4 linked regions of the Mus musculus genome follow. The protein of the gene in region 1 binds, or shares a complex with, the protein of each later gene. Links are inferred from orthologs where the notes say so. Each region holds a gene or a part of one and is shown on either strand. Other genes may lie near its edges. The genes, in order: Ush1c, Cdhr2, Cdhr5 and Anks4b.

Region 1 (3,564 bases):
GGAGAGACAGAATCAGGTTACTGGGTCTACATGCCTTCAAGTGGCCCTTTTAGCTTGAGACATACAGATTAAGTAGCCAATATTCATGGAGACTGGAGACATCATATCCTTGCGGTATGAGTCTGAAGGCCTACCATGCTATACCAGGTACCCTAGTGACCTATGGGGGACCCCGGGGTTACATTCCCCAGAGCCATTCCTTCTTCAAGGCCAGCTACCGAACCCCCATGGCAGGTAGTCTCTTACCCCAGATTCCGACACGAACTGATCCACATACTGCCATTTGAGGGACTCCTCAGGAGAGCTGAGGCGAAGGCAAGAGAGAAGATGGAGCCGGTAAGCACACTCGAGGGAGCTGGGTTCTGTGTCACTTCACCCCCGCAGCCCAGGAGCAGTGCAAGTTCAGGGCCTGGGGGTGGAGTAGATCCCAGGACTCTTGGCCTAGAGGAGACTCACAGATAAGCCTGCTTACCTCTTCACAGGGATCAGTCCGATGTCTGTGGGGAGGAAACAGCAGGTTAGGGAAGCTCCTATGCCCTTGGGGTTGGGGCCACCTCCCACCCAACCCCCATCCCAAAGCGCCATTCCTGTCCGGCCTCACTCACGTCTCACTTTGATGGACACGGTCTTCTTGGTGCGGATCAGGTTGATGACTTCCTCATGGGTACAGGAAGAGATGGAATAGCCGTTGATCCGGACAATTTCATCCCCTACCTGGGCAGAGAGAGAGATGCAACAGGCACAGGGGAGAGTGCCAAGCAGGGGAGCAGGCCCATTCCCAGGTGCTCCCCGCCCCAGAGGGGCTGTCATCAAGCAAAAGCTTTCATCTGTGCTTTAGTACTGTGTCGCAGCCTAACTACCCTCCGACAGCGGCAGGCAACACTTTTCAGCTCCAGGATGGAGAAAGCAAGATCTGAGCTGGGGAGAGGCATGCAGTTGGTGGGTAATGGAGCTGAGGCAGGGTTTGGAACTCTGTTACCGTCTCTTGGTTCCTCTGTCACCCCACTGAGGTGCAATCAGGTTCTGGAATCCAACATCCCTGTCTGGCCTTTGTCCCTCCCTGTCCTAGAAGCAGGCTTTTGTCTCTATCAATTACCAATTACTGAGATCTGAAATGGGGACGCATGACACTTGACCCAAACTCATATCACTAACACAAACATATAATCTCTTTTGTTCCATTCCATGGAAATGCAATGAAGTTAAACTGACTTCTGAGTTTTGATTCTGGAAGCAGGCAAAGAGCAGAGAATGAACCCACGGCTCTGTGCTCTGAGTTGAAATCTTTTTTTTTAAATTCAAGTCTTTTGGATTCTCTAAACCATGGTTTCTTTCATATATGAAGCAGAGAATACCATGGAGTTGTTGAGTGAGGATTAAGCAAACATATGTGCAAGTGTGTAAGGTCAGCCAGTATGGGGCCCACAGCAAGTTCTTAAGAAATGGTTGCTATTAAGGAGGCCTACTGAGCCAGTTCAAAGAGGCAGAGCATGATGAGACTGCCCCCTGCTGGCCATCGCTGCTGCCTCTACCAGAAAGCCGAAGGATCCTCGAACATCAACATCTCCTGAGAGAAGATAGGGAAGCTGAGGCAGAGGTGTATTGGTAATGGGCAAGAGACAGGTAGGGGTGCAAGACAATGGTGTATTGTCCAAGGACACGAAGACACACGGGGACAGAGCTCAGGCGTCGTGCAGATGAAGGCTGTGGCTTTGCCTGAAACCCCACGCATTACTGTTGGTCTCTTGGAGAAGGGTTGGCACATGTGGGGTCTCAGGTTAGACTCTGAGGGCACATGGTCTCTAGGTCAGTTCCCAGCCTACAATCTACAGTTACCTCTCATTACCACTAGGAAAGGGTGTGCCCATCTCTCTGGGACTCAAACACCCATCTCAGTGTCCTGATAGGAGGGCTCTCCAAAGAACTTGCTGCGTTTCTGGGGACAGTGACTTCAAAGAGAACATCCAGATAGCTTCCTGAACCTATGTTTTTCAATCCAAAGGGTAAGAACTTGTGTTTCTGCTCTGCATAGAACTTGCCAAAAGGCCTTTATGTAGGGACCACTGTGGCACTGTGAAGAGATGGGGCATCAGGAGGAACTGATTTGTTCAAAGTCACCCAGTGAGCCAAGAGGCTGCTGGGATGTGTCGTCAGGTCTCCGTGACAGACAACACATGCTGGCTCTTGGGTGTCTGGAAAAGGAGGGCATGTGGCCAAGCCTGGCTGCAGTTCCTTGCACATTGCCTGCTATGGAGTCCTGCCACTTGTTCAGAGTCCCGGAGTTCCATAAGAAGGCAGGGATTACTTTGTGCATCTTATAGCAGAGCCAGGGAAGGGGGGCAGAATCATTTTCTACACAAGTAAACAGCTAGTTGCATACGTGCATGAATAAAGGACACAGTTAAACATAAAGAAGGTATTGTTAAAAACCTAAGTATCCTGGAGGGGACAGAAGCAATGTGACTAAAGTCCCAGGACCAGGACCTGCTGGAGGGTTCAAGCCCCTGCAGGGCCTGCAGCATCCCAGGGCAAATCCCTCTTGACTTCTAGAATCTTCTCTGTGCTGTCCTCCAGCACAAGAAACGTGAACCCTGGTTTGATCAATGGATGAAGGCGATTTTCTCCTAGCTCCTCCTGAGTGGAGTTCCCTGTATTGTTACTACAGGACCCTAGTCGGAGTGATTCCCCCACAGCCCCTGGAGAGGGTTGCAGGATCAACTTCCCTCTCCCTCCTTGCTCTACACAGAACCCTGCAAAAGAGCCTTTGTACGGAGCTCATAGTAACATGACAATCTGAGGGATTGTAGGACAAAGAGGAGATGGGCCCCAGGGCCCCGGAAAGGGGGAGTGCTATTTCATAAGCCTGAGAAGCAGGTGGGAAGTTGGATGTCTGGGTTTCCTGAGTGCGCCCTGATGCCCTCCTTCATGGGTCTCTGCAGGAAAGCGCTTGTCCTCAGAGGAGAGCTTGTGCTGGAAAAAAAGGGGGGCCCAGCTGTCCCCAAGAGGGGAGCTCATTATGCTCTCTCCTCTGGCCGTGTTTCTGGGCTGGAAAATGTGCCACCGAGGGAAGGAACAATGAGGGGGCTGAAATTTCAGATGCTACCGGGAGCCCTGAGACAGGGATTGTGAACAAAGCCCTGACTGTCATCTTGCTGTCCCCACCCCCTCCTCCCTGGTCTCGCACCATCAGTCCTAGAGCCCCCTGAAGCCCCTGGCTTATTCCCCGATGGGGATGTTGATAACAAAATCCCTGGAAGTCTCTTTACCTGGAGAGACATAAGCAGCCCTCAGACCTGGAGGCCTGCTTGTCCCTGCTCAGACACGAAAGTGTGGGGACTGTATGGGAGAAGCCTGGGGTGCTGGCCTGGATCCAGAAGACCCAGGTTCAAAGCCTGGCTCTGCTGCTCACTGACTTCTGCACCTCTATGAACACTTTAAAATGGGGCTGATTCATCTGATGCGTACTGACTTGATTTGGTTGGAGGTGGTCACCAGTTCACTGCTCTGTATGGACCTGTCAGTCTCACAGCTCTGGTGTATCAAGAAGCTGTGCTGACTGCCTCA
Region 2 (3,564 bases), on another chromosome or scaffold:
TCTCTGATATGTGGGTGAGAACATCAAAGTGTGATTGTGTGTGTGTGTGTGTCAGTGTGTGTGTCTCTGTGTACCTCTGTGTGTGTGTCAGTATATGTGTGTCTATGTTTGTGTATGTGTGTATCTCTGTGTGTCTGTGTGTGTTTGTGTATCTCTGTGTGTGTGTCTATGTGTGTGTGTATCTCTGTGTACCTGTGTGTGTCTGTGTGTCAGTGTATGTGTGTATGTATGTATCTCTGTATATCTGTATATGTTTGTGTATCTCTCTGTGTGTGTCTATGTTTGTGTTTGTGTGTGTCTCTGTGTGTCTGTGTGTGTGTGTGTGTGTGTCACTGTATGTGTGTATGTATGTGTCTATGTGTGCATTTGTGTGTATCTCTGTATGTCTGTGTGTGTCTCTGTATGTTTGTGTATCTCTCTGTTTGTGTCCTACCGTGTATCTAGGGCGGTGTGTGGGTGTGGGAGTGCTGTGTCTCTGTGTGTGTGTCTATTTGTGTATTTATGTATATTTCTGTATTTGTGTATGTGTGTGTGTTTGCATGTCAGAGTGTGTGTGTGTGTGTGTATGTGTGTAAGTCTGTGTGTGTCTGTGTGTATATGTCTCTGTGTGTCTGTGTGTGTCTGTGTTTGTGCATGTGTGTCTGTGTGTGTGTGTCTCTGTGTATCTCTGTGTGTGTCTGTGTCTATGCGTCTGTGTATCTGTGTGTGTGTGGTTTATGATTTGTTTTAAGGCCAGGTCTTGCTATGGAGCCCAGGCTGGCCTCAAATTCAAGCTGCTCCTGCTTTTGTCCCCCAAACGACAGGGTGACAGGTCCATCTGACTATGACAAGTATTCTGGATAAAACTTCAGCAAAGCGTGCCTTTAATCCCAGAACTTGGTAGACAAAGACAATTGGTTGTCTGTGAGTTCAAGGTCAGCCTCGTCTACACCGGTGCTCCAGGCCAGCCAGAGCTACATAGTGAGAACCTGTCTTACAACAACATAATATAAAAACAAACAAAAGAGGAACACAGGCTAGCGGAGAACAGCAGGGGCTAGAGGCAGGGAAAGCACTCACATTCAGAGTGGTCTGTGTCTCTAGGGCAGGACCCAATGTGGGCTGATCTTGGGCCTGAACTGTCACCTGGTATGTGCCTTGGATAGTAGAATCTAGGTTGGTCACCAACCTATGAGAGAAGTAAAGACATAGCTTTATTCCATAAGCAAATCTGGGTTCTTACAGTCCTACTGAAAAAACACCTGTACACACTCCAGGATGGAGACCCTGCCTCAGCCTTGGGCTCCCTCTCCCCTCCCCCCTCCCAGGAGGCCATCACCACAGTACTCGATGCTGCCAGTGAACAGGCCAGCTTCCACTGATCTGGTAATCCGGAAGACCTGGACAGGGTTGGAAGTTCCATCTTTGCGGACAAATTCTGCTTTCAGGATGGAGAACATGATGATCCCATTGTCTTCTGAGTCCTCATCTCTGGCCTGGAGCAAGAGTGGATGTCTGGGGAGAGGCCGGGAAAGGCCTCCCATTCCCACCACAATCAGACGCTACAGTGGCCACTACAGAGCAGAGCTACTTTCTTATAGGTCTCACCATATAGTCCTGGCTGGCCTGGAACTCACTGTTACACCAGAATGGCCTTGAATTTTCTGTGATCCTCCTGCCGCTGCCTCAAAAGACTACAGAAATGTACATCACACCTGGCTTGGGCTTTTTAAAGATCAAGGTCACTACACATCCACATTTGCCTACGTTTTTTCTTGTGTACCCCAATATAACAGATCAACACCCTAAGCCCTCCTGTACTTAAAGCTGCCCCACTCTCTATTCAATTGCCAGGCACATACACACTCATTCCCAATCACAGCCTTGCTCAGCTCAAGAGCACCTACTGTGTGTATCCTCTCTCTAAAGCCCTCACTTCAGTCCTGTCTACATTCTCTAGTGGATCGGAAATGGACAAGAAGGAGGGACGAACATCTGGATTCATTCTAGTGTCTTAAAAAAGAATAAAACAGGTACATAGGGCTTCTAGCTCAGGGTGATGAATGTCTGGGCTTCTGGTTGTAAAAAGGAATTAATTAAAAAAAAAAAAAAAAAGCACGAGTTTGGAACCCAAGCAGTGGTGGCACACACCTTTAATCATAGCACGTGGGATGCAAAGGCAGGCAGAGCTCTGTGAGTTCAAGAACAGCTCTACAGAGTAAGTTCCAGGAAGCCAGAGCTGTTACACAGAGAAACCCAATCTTGGGAAGCAAAACAAACAAACAAACCAAAAAAAAAAAAAAAAAAAAAAAAAAAAAAAAAGCAGTGTTTGCCAGTAAAGTGCTTACCCTGCAGGCCCAAGGGCCTGACCTGTGTTTGGCTTTCAGAGACCACATAAAAGACCAGGTACAGACTCTAGCTGCATATGTATCAAAAGATGGCCTAGGCGGCCATCACTGGAAAGAGAGGCCCATTGGACACGCAAACTTTATATGCCCCAGTACAGGGGAACGCCAGGGCCAAAAAAGGGGAGTGGGTGGGTAGGGGAGTGGGGGTGGGTGGCTATGGGGGACTTTTGGTATAGCATTGGAAATGTAAATGAGCTAAATACCTAATAAAAAATGGAAAAAAAAAAAAAAAAGAAAAGACACAAGCTAACAGAATAAATGTGAAAACAGGACCCATCATTCTGCTGCATGCAAGAAACACAGCTCAGAATCAAAGATGACATTACTGCAAAGTAAAGGGCTGAAAAAATATTTTTAAGCAAAAAAATCTAAGAAACAAGCTTGAGTAGCCATCCTAATATCCAATAAAATAGACTTTCAACCAAAATTAATCAAAAGAGACAAGGAAGAACACTTCATACTCATCAAAGGAAAAAAAAAAAAAAAGACCAGGTACATTGGGATACACTTGTAATCTCAGCAAAGGGGAGGTGGGAACAGGTGTATCCCTGGGCCTGTCAGCCTAATAGGCAAGTTCCAGGCTACTGTGAGATCCTGTCTCCATTTAATAGCAGGATGAGGGGTGGCTCCTAAGGAACAATGCCCTACACTGGTTTTAGCACACACATGCTCATACCACCTACACGAATACGCAAATACACACACACACACATACACTCGGCCTAGCACATGCATACATGCCCAGGAGCATGTGAACCCACCTACACATGTGTTCCAGTGCACATGTGCAAAAGAAAACAATTCAAAGCCATGACTAAACTGGGACACTGGCATTCTGTTGGCTTGGAAATTAACTGGGTGAAGCCTTGTAAGAATCTAGAAAGAGGAATTTGCTGTCCCCAGGAGAATTCCTGTCCTAAGGACACCCTCAACTCTCTATGGGGACGGCCAGGCCTTTCCTAGTGCAGGAGCCTCTTGTCAAAGAGGCAGACTGAGCTGGGCGCAGTGACCCATGCCTTTAATCTCAGTATTGCAGAAGCAGAGGCAGGTGGATTCCAGGCAAAGCTGGTTTGCATAGTGAGTTCCAAAATAGCCAAGGCTACATGGTCAGAACCTGTCTCAAACTACACACAGAAAGGAAGGAAACTTAATCCCAGAGAAGCACGGCAGCTCCAGC
Region 3 (4,290 bases), about 95 Mb from region 1:
AGGCGTGGACAGATCCAGCCATCTCATTCAGTGGCTAGGACCACACCCAGCTGCCCTTTGAACCCAAGAAGCCAGCTAGGACATTTCTTATCTCTGGCATCAGCTGAACCCCTCTTTTCCCAGCTGAATTCCCTAGAGTGCCACCTTGCCCTGTGGTCCATTTAGCAAAATTTCTAGGGATCAGGGACTCCCCACCCTGGTCCAGCCATGTGGCCAGGGTAAATGAAGTGGTGAGGAGGAGGCTCAGGCGGGGTCATAGGGGTCCGCTTATGAGTGGGAGGACCTGAGTACATCCTGGCTCTAACATGTCTAGGCCTGAGGCCTGACGGTGATGTCATCTCCCAGTAGGCAGCTGTAGGACCAGTGAAGGGTTGTGAGACAGTGCTCAGTCTTTGCAGAGGCTTGGAGCCTCGGGAAGGTTTTCAGACACCTAAAGCAGCCAGCCCTGCAAAGGCCCACAGTAGTGAGAGCTGTGCAGGCCCTTTCAACAGAACACCCCCTACGACCCTCCTGATCCCACCCAGGGCCTTCTTCCTATCTCTGAGAGCTTACAGGCAAAAGGAGAGGAAGCATATCTAATGGAGGCCTGGGCTGTGTCCTCACCAGGATTCCTGTCTTCCATCAGATACTGGCTCCCCAAACCCCAGCTCCTAGCTGTGGCTGAAAGGTTCTATCTGCATCCTAACACCAACCAAGGCTCTGCCAGGCCCTACCCTGGGGGAACTGCTGTGTTTCTCATACAGCAGGAGCATACTGGGACACAGCCATTTCCCTTGGGAGTGGACGAGGGAAGGGAAGGGAGACGACATGACATAGCTCCAGGGATTTTGCTAGAGAACACTGAGGAGAAAGAGACAAGATGAGGGACACCCCAATGAGGGCTACAGTAGACCCAATGGCTCAGCCTGTTCTTGCTCCCAGCTCCCCACAGCCCTGCCCCCATTCCCCACAGCCCTGCCCCAGCTCTCCATAGCCCTGCCCCAGCTCCCCACAGCCCTGCCCCAGCTCCCCAGACCCATGGTTCCATCCCACAGGCCTGCTTCAGCCCCCAGCCCTGACTCAGCTCCCTACAGCCCTGCCCCAGTTCCCCACAGCCCTGCCCCAGCTCTCCATAGCCCTGCCCCAGCTCTCCATAGCCCTGCCCCAGCTCCCCATAGCCCTGCCCCAGCTCCCCAGACCCATGGTTCCATCCCACAGGCCTGCTTCAGCCCCCAGCCCTGACTCAGCCTCCTTAGATCTATGGCCCCAGAGCCTTGCCCTGGCTCCCCACACCTATTCTCCACTCCTCCTTGTTCTCAAGCTTCATACACCTTATGTGTAGTTCCCGTGGGTTGAGTCTCCAGCTAACTTCCTGGAAGTCCAGGCCGAAATATGACCTCATGTCCCCTGTTAGTGCCGGCCAGCGGGAGTCCCCTTGATAGAGGCCATCTGTAAAGGGTCATAAAATGAGGCGGTGCCTGGCAGGGGCGAAGGTCGCCAAGGCAGGAATTGTACCAGCCCTGGAACCAAGCAAGCTGGATCCTTCTTCCAGGTGACAGCTGCCGCCATGGGGGCTCCGGCCCTCCTGTGGCCTTCCCTGCTGTTGCCATGGCTCACAGTGCTGTTTGGCCAACCTCCGGGGACCTTGGCCCAGACCCAGGGTATGTGTCGGGCAGGGGCAGGACAGGTGGGTGGCAGAGCTCTGATGAGGAACCAACTTCTTCTTTCCAACTTTCTAGTCTGCTCTGTGAACCAGACCATATTTAGAGTCGAGGAGAACACCACTGTTTCTGAGCCACTGGTGAACATTTTTGTCCCAGACGGCCTGCACGTGACCTTGGGACCCTTGTCCACTCCTTATGCCTTTAGGATCGAAGGAAAAGATCTGTTTCTCAACGTGACTCCAGATTATGAGGTACAGTCTGTAGGCTGGATGGAATGTGCCTTCATGGAGACATACATGGGCGGGCCTCCTAACCTGGGGAAGATTCAGGGAAGGAGGGGCTGAGGGTTCTCTATCCCCCTGAGTGAGGAACCCTTCAGGCCCTGTGGTCGGTTGGTTGGTACTGAGGGGGAGGGCCGTAGGGGACAAAGCTGCCAAATGCCCCCCCCCACACACCCAGGATTTCCCACAGATGACTGGGGCGCTGGAGCGGTACCTGCTCTCCTAGCCGTACTCTCCCGTTCTAGAGCAGCATAGCTCCTTATGTGGCAAGTGACTCATAGGGCCCCTGGCTTCATCCTTAGGAAAACTCATTGCTCCAGGCAGATGTGGAGTGTAAGAGAGGAGATGCGGTGGTAAGTTAACCCCAGTACCTGATCACCTCTGCCTTCTGTCAGAGTACCCCAAGGCCATTCCCCCATGACCTCAGCTCTCTCCTGGCCACTCCCACGCTTGCTTCTTTCAGCCTAGACTTCCCTGAGCTCCAGACTCAAAGTCAGCTAACTTAGAGCTGTGGATTAAGTCAATACCCTGAGGCCCTAAGTCTGCCTCTCATCCCTCACCTGCCAGCCACTTAGGCCCCTTTTGAGGTCACCCCACCCCAGGTACATTGTTGGGATTGTCGGTTGTGCCTCAGTTAGAGTCAGCCCTACTCTTCCTACCTCTAGTCCCACGGGGCCTTGGGCAGCAGGTCTCCTTTCTGACCCTGCCGCAGATCCATTTGCTCTCCGTGCCCTTGGTCCTTCTCTATTCCTTCCCCCACATAGTGAATCCCTAGAGAGTCATAACCACAACCCCAGACAGCCTCACACAGAAACTTCTACGTTTCTTACCGGACTCCAAAGCTAAATGCACAGGTGGGTGGGTGAGGCAGGCTAGGGCATGCAGACACTGATCTGGTATGCAAATTCATTTTGATGCTTAACCCTCCTACGTTATGCTGCCCCGCTACCCTATCCCATACATCGTATCCCTCAGCCTCCACCACAAGCCTTTTACTAAAGGAAGCTCGAAGAAATAACAGGCCCCACATAATTTCTGCTTCACCATGAGCAACTCTCACACCCTGCACTCCTACCTGGCTCCATGACATGTTACCACACACATCTTGGGCCACGTCTCTAATAGGTAGTAATATTAAAAAAACAAAACAAGACAAAACTTATTTTTTTTTTTTGGTATAGTTCAGTGGTAGAGTATCTGCCTAGTATGATTTGAAGCCCTGGGCTCCACCTTCAACACATGAATATAATTCACACACATACACAGACATACAGATACACAGAGAGACAGAGACAGAAACAGGAAGACAGAGAGAGGCATGGACTTGGTATCTGTCACACCTGAGAAGAACAGCTTTCTCTCTGTCCTCCAGCACCTGGCTGTGTTCGTTTCTCCCTGGGTCTCAGGAAGGGTTCTCTCATGGAATAAAGCTGTTTGGTTTTAACCTAAAGGCCCCTTTCTCTGATCTTCTCTTGGAGACCTGTTTCTGAAGCCGCGAGAGGCTGTTTTTCTCCCTTCGATGCGTTGCTGGTTGTGGCCCTGGGATTGTCATCATTTCTCTTCAGCCCACCCACCACACACATGTGGCCACACTCTAAAACTTGTTTTTACAGTCTACGTTCCTCCTAGAACAGTAGCTCACAGGCCACCACATTATTGCTGCCATCAGAGCTGTGGAATGAAAGGGAAAGAATGACTGACTGACTGAATGAATAAGATAAGAATAATGAAACAGATAAGAAAAGGAATGAATGAATGATGGGTCATCAGAGCATTGCTGACTTTGGTGACTTTGCTGCAGGTGGTACGCCTGGAGGTGTTTGTGGCTGTCCTGGATATCAATGACAATGCGCCAAAATTCTCCTTTGAAATCAAGACATTTAATGTATCGGAGGTGAGCCCAGTCGGAACCAGTGCTGTCTTGAGCATGGAGAGGCAGGGGGACACAGGGTGTCTGCAGGGGGACACAGGGTGTCTGCAGGGGGACACAGGGTGTCTGCGGGACCACATCGGGAAGATCTATATACAGAAACCACAGCATGGCTGGACCAACCTCCTCTTCTCCATTCCCAGGACACCAAAGTGAATACAACCGTCATCCCTGAGACACAGCTGAAGGCTACAGATGCTGACATAAATGACATCCTAGTCTACACTCTGCAGGAAGTGACCCCCGTCAGTGCTTCCCCAGCCCCACTCATTATTGACAACCCTCACTCTTTCTGATGCCTTCAGGCCTCAGTTTCTCCACCTTCCAGAGTCCCACCTCCTTCCCCTCCACAGAATGCCAGCAAGTTCTTCTCCCTGGAGGGCGTAAACTACCCTGCTCTGAAGTTGGACCAGACCCTGGATTACTTCAAGAATCA
Region 4 (4,109 bases), about 74 Mb from region 1:
TTATGTGTATATATATATATATATAAGTATTTATACTTACAGTATTAATTGTTAAAATATTGTCAACTTTCATAATATATATGATAAAGAGTTGATGCTGTTAAGTTTAAAAGCCTTTTGAAGGCTATGAGATGGGTCAGTGGGTAAATTGTTCACTGTACAAGGCTAAGGCCCTAAGTTCAGATGCCCAGGACTCACATAAAGCCAGATCAAAGGCTTCTTCATCATTTTCCTGGCAAAATGAGAGGCAGAGACAGGAGAGTCCTTGGGGGGTCATGGGTCAGCTAATCTGAGATCACAAGAGACCTGTTCTCAAACACTGTGGAAAGTGGACGCCTGACAACCAAGGCTGTCCTCTGATCTCTACATATGCATCCTGGTATGCTGACACTACCATTAACCTCTCTCTCCCTCCCCCCCCCTCTCTCTCTCTCTCTCTCTCGCACATACACACACACACACACACCTTCTCTGAAAGCCAATTTTATAAATCAATATTTAAGAACCTGTTATAAAACTGGGGCAATGTTATAGACTCGCAGACAGAAATGTAAGGGCTGCTCAGCACTGGCGTTCTCAGTCTCACCAGGACCCTGCCTTTCCCCTTGTAAAAGTGATTCCCTATCGAAGAAGGGAACTTGCTTTTCCTAGTTGTCTTTGCCTGTACCTCCTCTCTCTCCTATCATGGGGGAGGGGGGGCTCCACCTTTGCCCTCCCTAGAGGTGGCAGCCATAAGAACCCATCATGGAAACAGAAAATTGATCTCTCCAGGTACCAAACTTCTTGCCAACTTGATCTTAGACTTCCTGGCTGCTCTTAAAATTATGAGAATAAGTTTTATCCTCTCTGAGTTACCTTGTCTGAGGTATTTCGTTATCATAGCACAAGTGTAGGCCAACTGACAACTTTAGTTCTGAGAATTTGCACTCGGAAAAAAAAAAGTATGGACCAGGACTTACGTGGAAGAACAATCATCACAACACTGCCAACTAGAAAAAAAAATGTAACAAATAGGGGGATAACCTAAGAAATAAATTTGCTGGTTATGATACTAAAGGTGTAAATTAAATAGAGAGTGTTGCATACTTCACTGCTGTAGCAAAACTGAGACATTAACTCAAAAAAAAAAAAAGAAAGACCTAACTTGAATAAAGCTTCAGGAGATGCCGTATAGAGAGTGAGCACGCTCTTTCTGACATGTTCCCCAGTCCAACGAGGTGGCCAGACCCGCAATCTGTTTAATCCAAACATGGATGTTGACCCTCGTCTTCCTTTACTTGCCACATCCAATCACTCTCTGACATCCAAACTGTCACTCACATCTCTGTGTCTACCCACGCCCAGTGTTACCACGTGAGTTTCACTTTACCTTGAATGTCCCTAGACATTCTCTGTGACCACTGTACAATCACCAGAACAATATTCATAAGCATAAATCTATCTGATGGCCTCCTTTGTAAATAGAGGGTGTGGTGTCTAGGCTCTCAGGAGAAGATTGAAGTTCTCAGCAGAATTCTCAAGGCTCCTGATAGTCTGGTCTTATGGCTTAGGTTCTGTCCCTGTGCAGGTCAGGTCCAGCCAAGCTCAATGTCTTCCATCCTCGGAATGCACAGTGTTCTGCCTTAGGGGGAAAACACTTCCCTCCACCTCGATCAGCTCCTTGTCTTTCTAATGTCAGCTTAATTTCCCTTCCCTGGCACGAGCTTTATCACATCTACCCAAAGCCGCTCGCTTGGCTTCCCCTCTCAGATCTGATTGCCACAGGAACACTAGGATGTTCTGTTGATCAGCACCATCTGGGCAGCACCAAAAATATATGAGAAGAATTGGAATCAGAGGAGGAAGGAGTGGAAGAAAGAGAAAGAGGAAGAAGGAGAGAGAAGGAGGAGAGGTGGACTGTCACCTGCCAGATGCTAAATATGCACTGTCCTGGAATCACTTGGCTCTCTTACTCTTTACCTCCCCTCCCGTCCTCCCACTCCCACTCCTCTCATTCTCCCAGACTCCTCTTTCGCTCCATTTCTGCCCATCTTAAGTCGTAGCTGCCTACCCTGACTAGCCCTCTGGCAATGAGCAGGACAAGCAGAATAAAAGAGTTAGCAAAGACTTGAATTTAAAGGTAAGGGATGGTGTGTGTATGTGTGTGTGTGAAGATTGAAGACTCATTTTATAGCTTGTAAAGCCAGAAATTTCATTCAAAAATTCAGCTTACACCAAGGCCGAGTGTTCATAAAAGATAGTTTTTAGTGACACAATTGAAAACGTAAAATAAAGCCATGTCCTAACCAAGGAGGATGACTGAACCAAAAAGCATGGTGACCTCTTTTTAAGGAGTTAACCATTTCAATTCCATGGATATGACTTTCAGGGCATATAGTTCCAATGCCTACCCCCACCCCTCTGCCTGAGTGACTCCTAAATGGCTGTTTTCACAGGGAAAGAAACCATACCTAGCTTAGTCTTGACTCTTTCTCTAAAAGCCAAAGACTTAGGGAGCCTAGAAAGAAGTAAAATGTCTTCGTGGATGTCTCTGTCTCTTACTGCCGGTGTGGTACTCCCCACCCAGGATACCCTAACAGGAATCACTCACCCTCTACTGCAGATTATTTCTAGGGCCTCGAGGTTGCCGTGGTAGGCTGCCAGGAGAGTGGGTGTCATGCCATCCTCATCTGAGAGATTCAGATCACGCTTGGTGGCCTCCTTCAGAAGTTCCAGGTAGCTGTCACTCGCTGCTTGGTGATAGCGGGTAGACATTTTTTCTGCCCACCAGAGCTTGGCCAGGTAGGAGTCTTTGTCTAGGCAGAGCTGGTAACACAGTCTTCCAACAGGGCTGGTTAATCAGTGACGGGGAGTATCACCCCAGGCCAAAGTTCACTCCGGCCTTGCTCCTTGGAAGGCAGCCAGCCAGGAAGACCTGCAATCCTGGACTTGGGCCTTTCCTTTGGGGACCAACCATGGCAATGACCACTGAGGCCTGACAGGTGTGTCATGAGTGTGGTGAAGCACGTTTAATCTTTACTGTGTCCATTAACTAGTGTCAGATGTGATACTGACCACCCACTCACAGAATATGGGAAATAATCTCAAAAAACTCTGAACTGTTTAAGTTCACTTGGGTGGGAGAAGGGGTGTTTTAATAGATTTTAGGGGGTCTAATTTGTACAACTTGAATTTAGCCATTTGAAGTATAAAATAAAAGATCTTAGTAAATTTACAGTTGTGAAATCTTTGCTATAACATGGAGGAGAGAAGGCCGATTGACAGGCCAGAAGACAAACAGGTCACTCTCCAGGAACTGCCACAAAAAAGCTTGGTCTAGAGAGTGTCACAAAAAGGAAACAGCACTTTCTTTTTTAAAAATCTTTTATAAATATTTCTATTATACATAAATACACATATGTCATTATATATACATATATATGTATATGATTAATATTTATAGATATTTTTAAATGATTCAAGTAGCAATACCCAGGCTATAGGAAAGAGAGGAATTGATGTTAGGGTTTTTTAATTGGTTATTTTGTTTATTTACAATTCAAATATTATCCCCTTCCCAGTTTCCCCTCCGAAAACCTCTATTCCATCTCCCCTTTCCCCTGCTTGCATAAGGGTGCTATCCCACCTACCTACTCCTGCCCCACCTCTCTAGCATTCCCCTATGCTGGGGCATCAAGCCTTCACAGGACGAAGGGCCTCCCCTCCCAGTGATGCCAGATAAGGCCATCCTCTGCTACATATGCAGCTGGAGCCATGGGTACCTCCATGTGTTCTCTTTGGTTAGTAGTTTAGTCCCTAGGAGCTCTGGTGGGTCTGGTTGGTTCATATTGTTGTTCCTCCTATGGGGTTGCAAACCCCTTCAGCTCCTTTAGTCCTTCCCCTAACTCCTCCATTGTGGTCCCTGTGCTCAATCTGATGGTTTGACTGTGAGCATTCACATCTGTACTGCTCCCAGCTCTGGCAGAGCCTCTCAGGAGGACAGCTATACCAGGCTCCTGTCAGCAAGTGCTTCTTGGCATCAGCAATAGTGTCTGGGTTTGGTGTCTGCAGATGGGATGGATCCCTAGGTAAGGCAGTCTCTGGATGACCTTTCCTTCGGTCTCTGCTCC

Evidence for each region.
Region 2: Ush1c (region 1) and Cdhr2 share a complex: the UniProt entries of both Homo sapiens proteins name them as parts of the IMAC/intermicrovillar adhesion complex. The link is inferred for Mus musculus from reciprocal best matches to the Homo sapiens genes USH1C and CDHR2.
Region 3: Ush1c (region 1) and Cdhr5 share a complex: the UniProt entries of both Homo sapiens proteins name them as parts of the IMAC/intermicrovillar adhesion complex. The link is inferred for Mus musculus from reciprocal best matches to the Homo sapiens genes USH1C and CDHR5.
Region 4: Ush1c (region 1) and Anks4b share a complex: the UniProt entries of both Homo sapiens proteins name them as parts of the IMAC/intermicrovillar adhesion complex. The link is inferred for Mus musculus from reciprocal best matches to the Homo sapiens genes USH1C and ANKS4B.

Annotation. Positions count from the first base shown.
Region 1 is NC_000073.6:46,224,938-46,228,501, forward strand, and holds part of Ush1c (harmonin), read right to left. Parts: intron 715-3,564; coding exon 606-714; intron 498-605; coding exon 473-497; intron 305-472; coding exon 247-304; intron 1-246. UniProt on the Homo sapiens protein: Anchoring/scaffolding protein that is a part of the functional network formed by USH1C, USH1G, CDH23 and MYO7A that mediates mechanotransduction in cochlear hair cells. Required for normal development and maintenance of cochlear hair cell bundles.
Region 2 is NC_000079.6:54,728,948-54,732,511, reverse strand, and holds part of Cdhr2 (cadherin-related family member 2 precursor), read right to left. Parts: intron 1,476-3,564; coding exon 1,327-1,475; intron 1,169-1,326; coding exon 1,060-1,168; intron 1-1,059. UniProt on the Homo sapiens protein: Intermicrovillar adhesion molecule that forms, via its extracellular domain, calcium-dependent heterophilic complexes with CDHR5 on adjacent microvilli. Thereby, controls the packing of microvilli at the apical membrane of epithelial cells.
Region 3 is NC_000073.6:141,273,975-141,278,264, reverse strand, and holds the start of Cdhr5 (cadherin-related family member 5 isoform 1 precursor), read left to right. Parts: upstream 1-1,478; 5' UTR 1,479-1,546; coding exon 1,547-1,640; intron 1,641-1,718; coding exon 1,719-1,894; intron 1,895-2,226; coding exon 2,227-2,277; intron 2,278-3,725; coding exon 3,726-3,818; intron 3,819-3,997; coding exon 3,998-4,099; intron 4,100-4,207; coding exon 4,208-4,290. UniProt on the Homo sapiens protein: Intermicrovillar adhesion molecule that forms, via its extracellular domain, calcium-dependent heterophilic complexes with CDHR2 on adjacent microvilli. Thereby, controls the packing of microvilli at the apical membrane of epithelial cells.
Region 4 is NC_000073.6:120,172,564-120,176,672, reverse strand, and holds the start of Anks4b (ankyrin repeat and SAM domain-containing protein 4B), read right to left. Parts: upstream 2,816-4,109; 5' UTR 2,755-2,815; coding exon 2,591-2,754; intron 1-2,590. UniProt on the Homo sapiens protein: As part of the intermicrovillar adhesion complex/IMAC plays a role in epithelial brush border differentiation, controlling microvilli organization and length. Plays a role in assembly of the complex.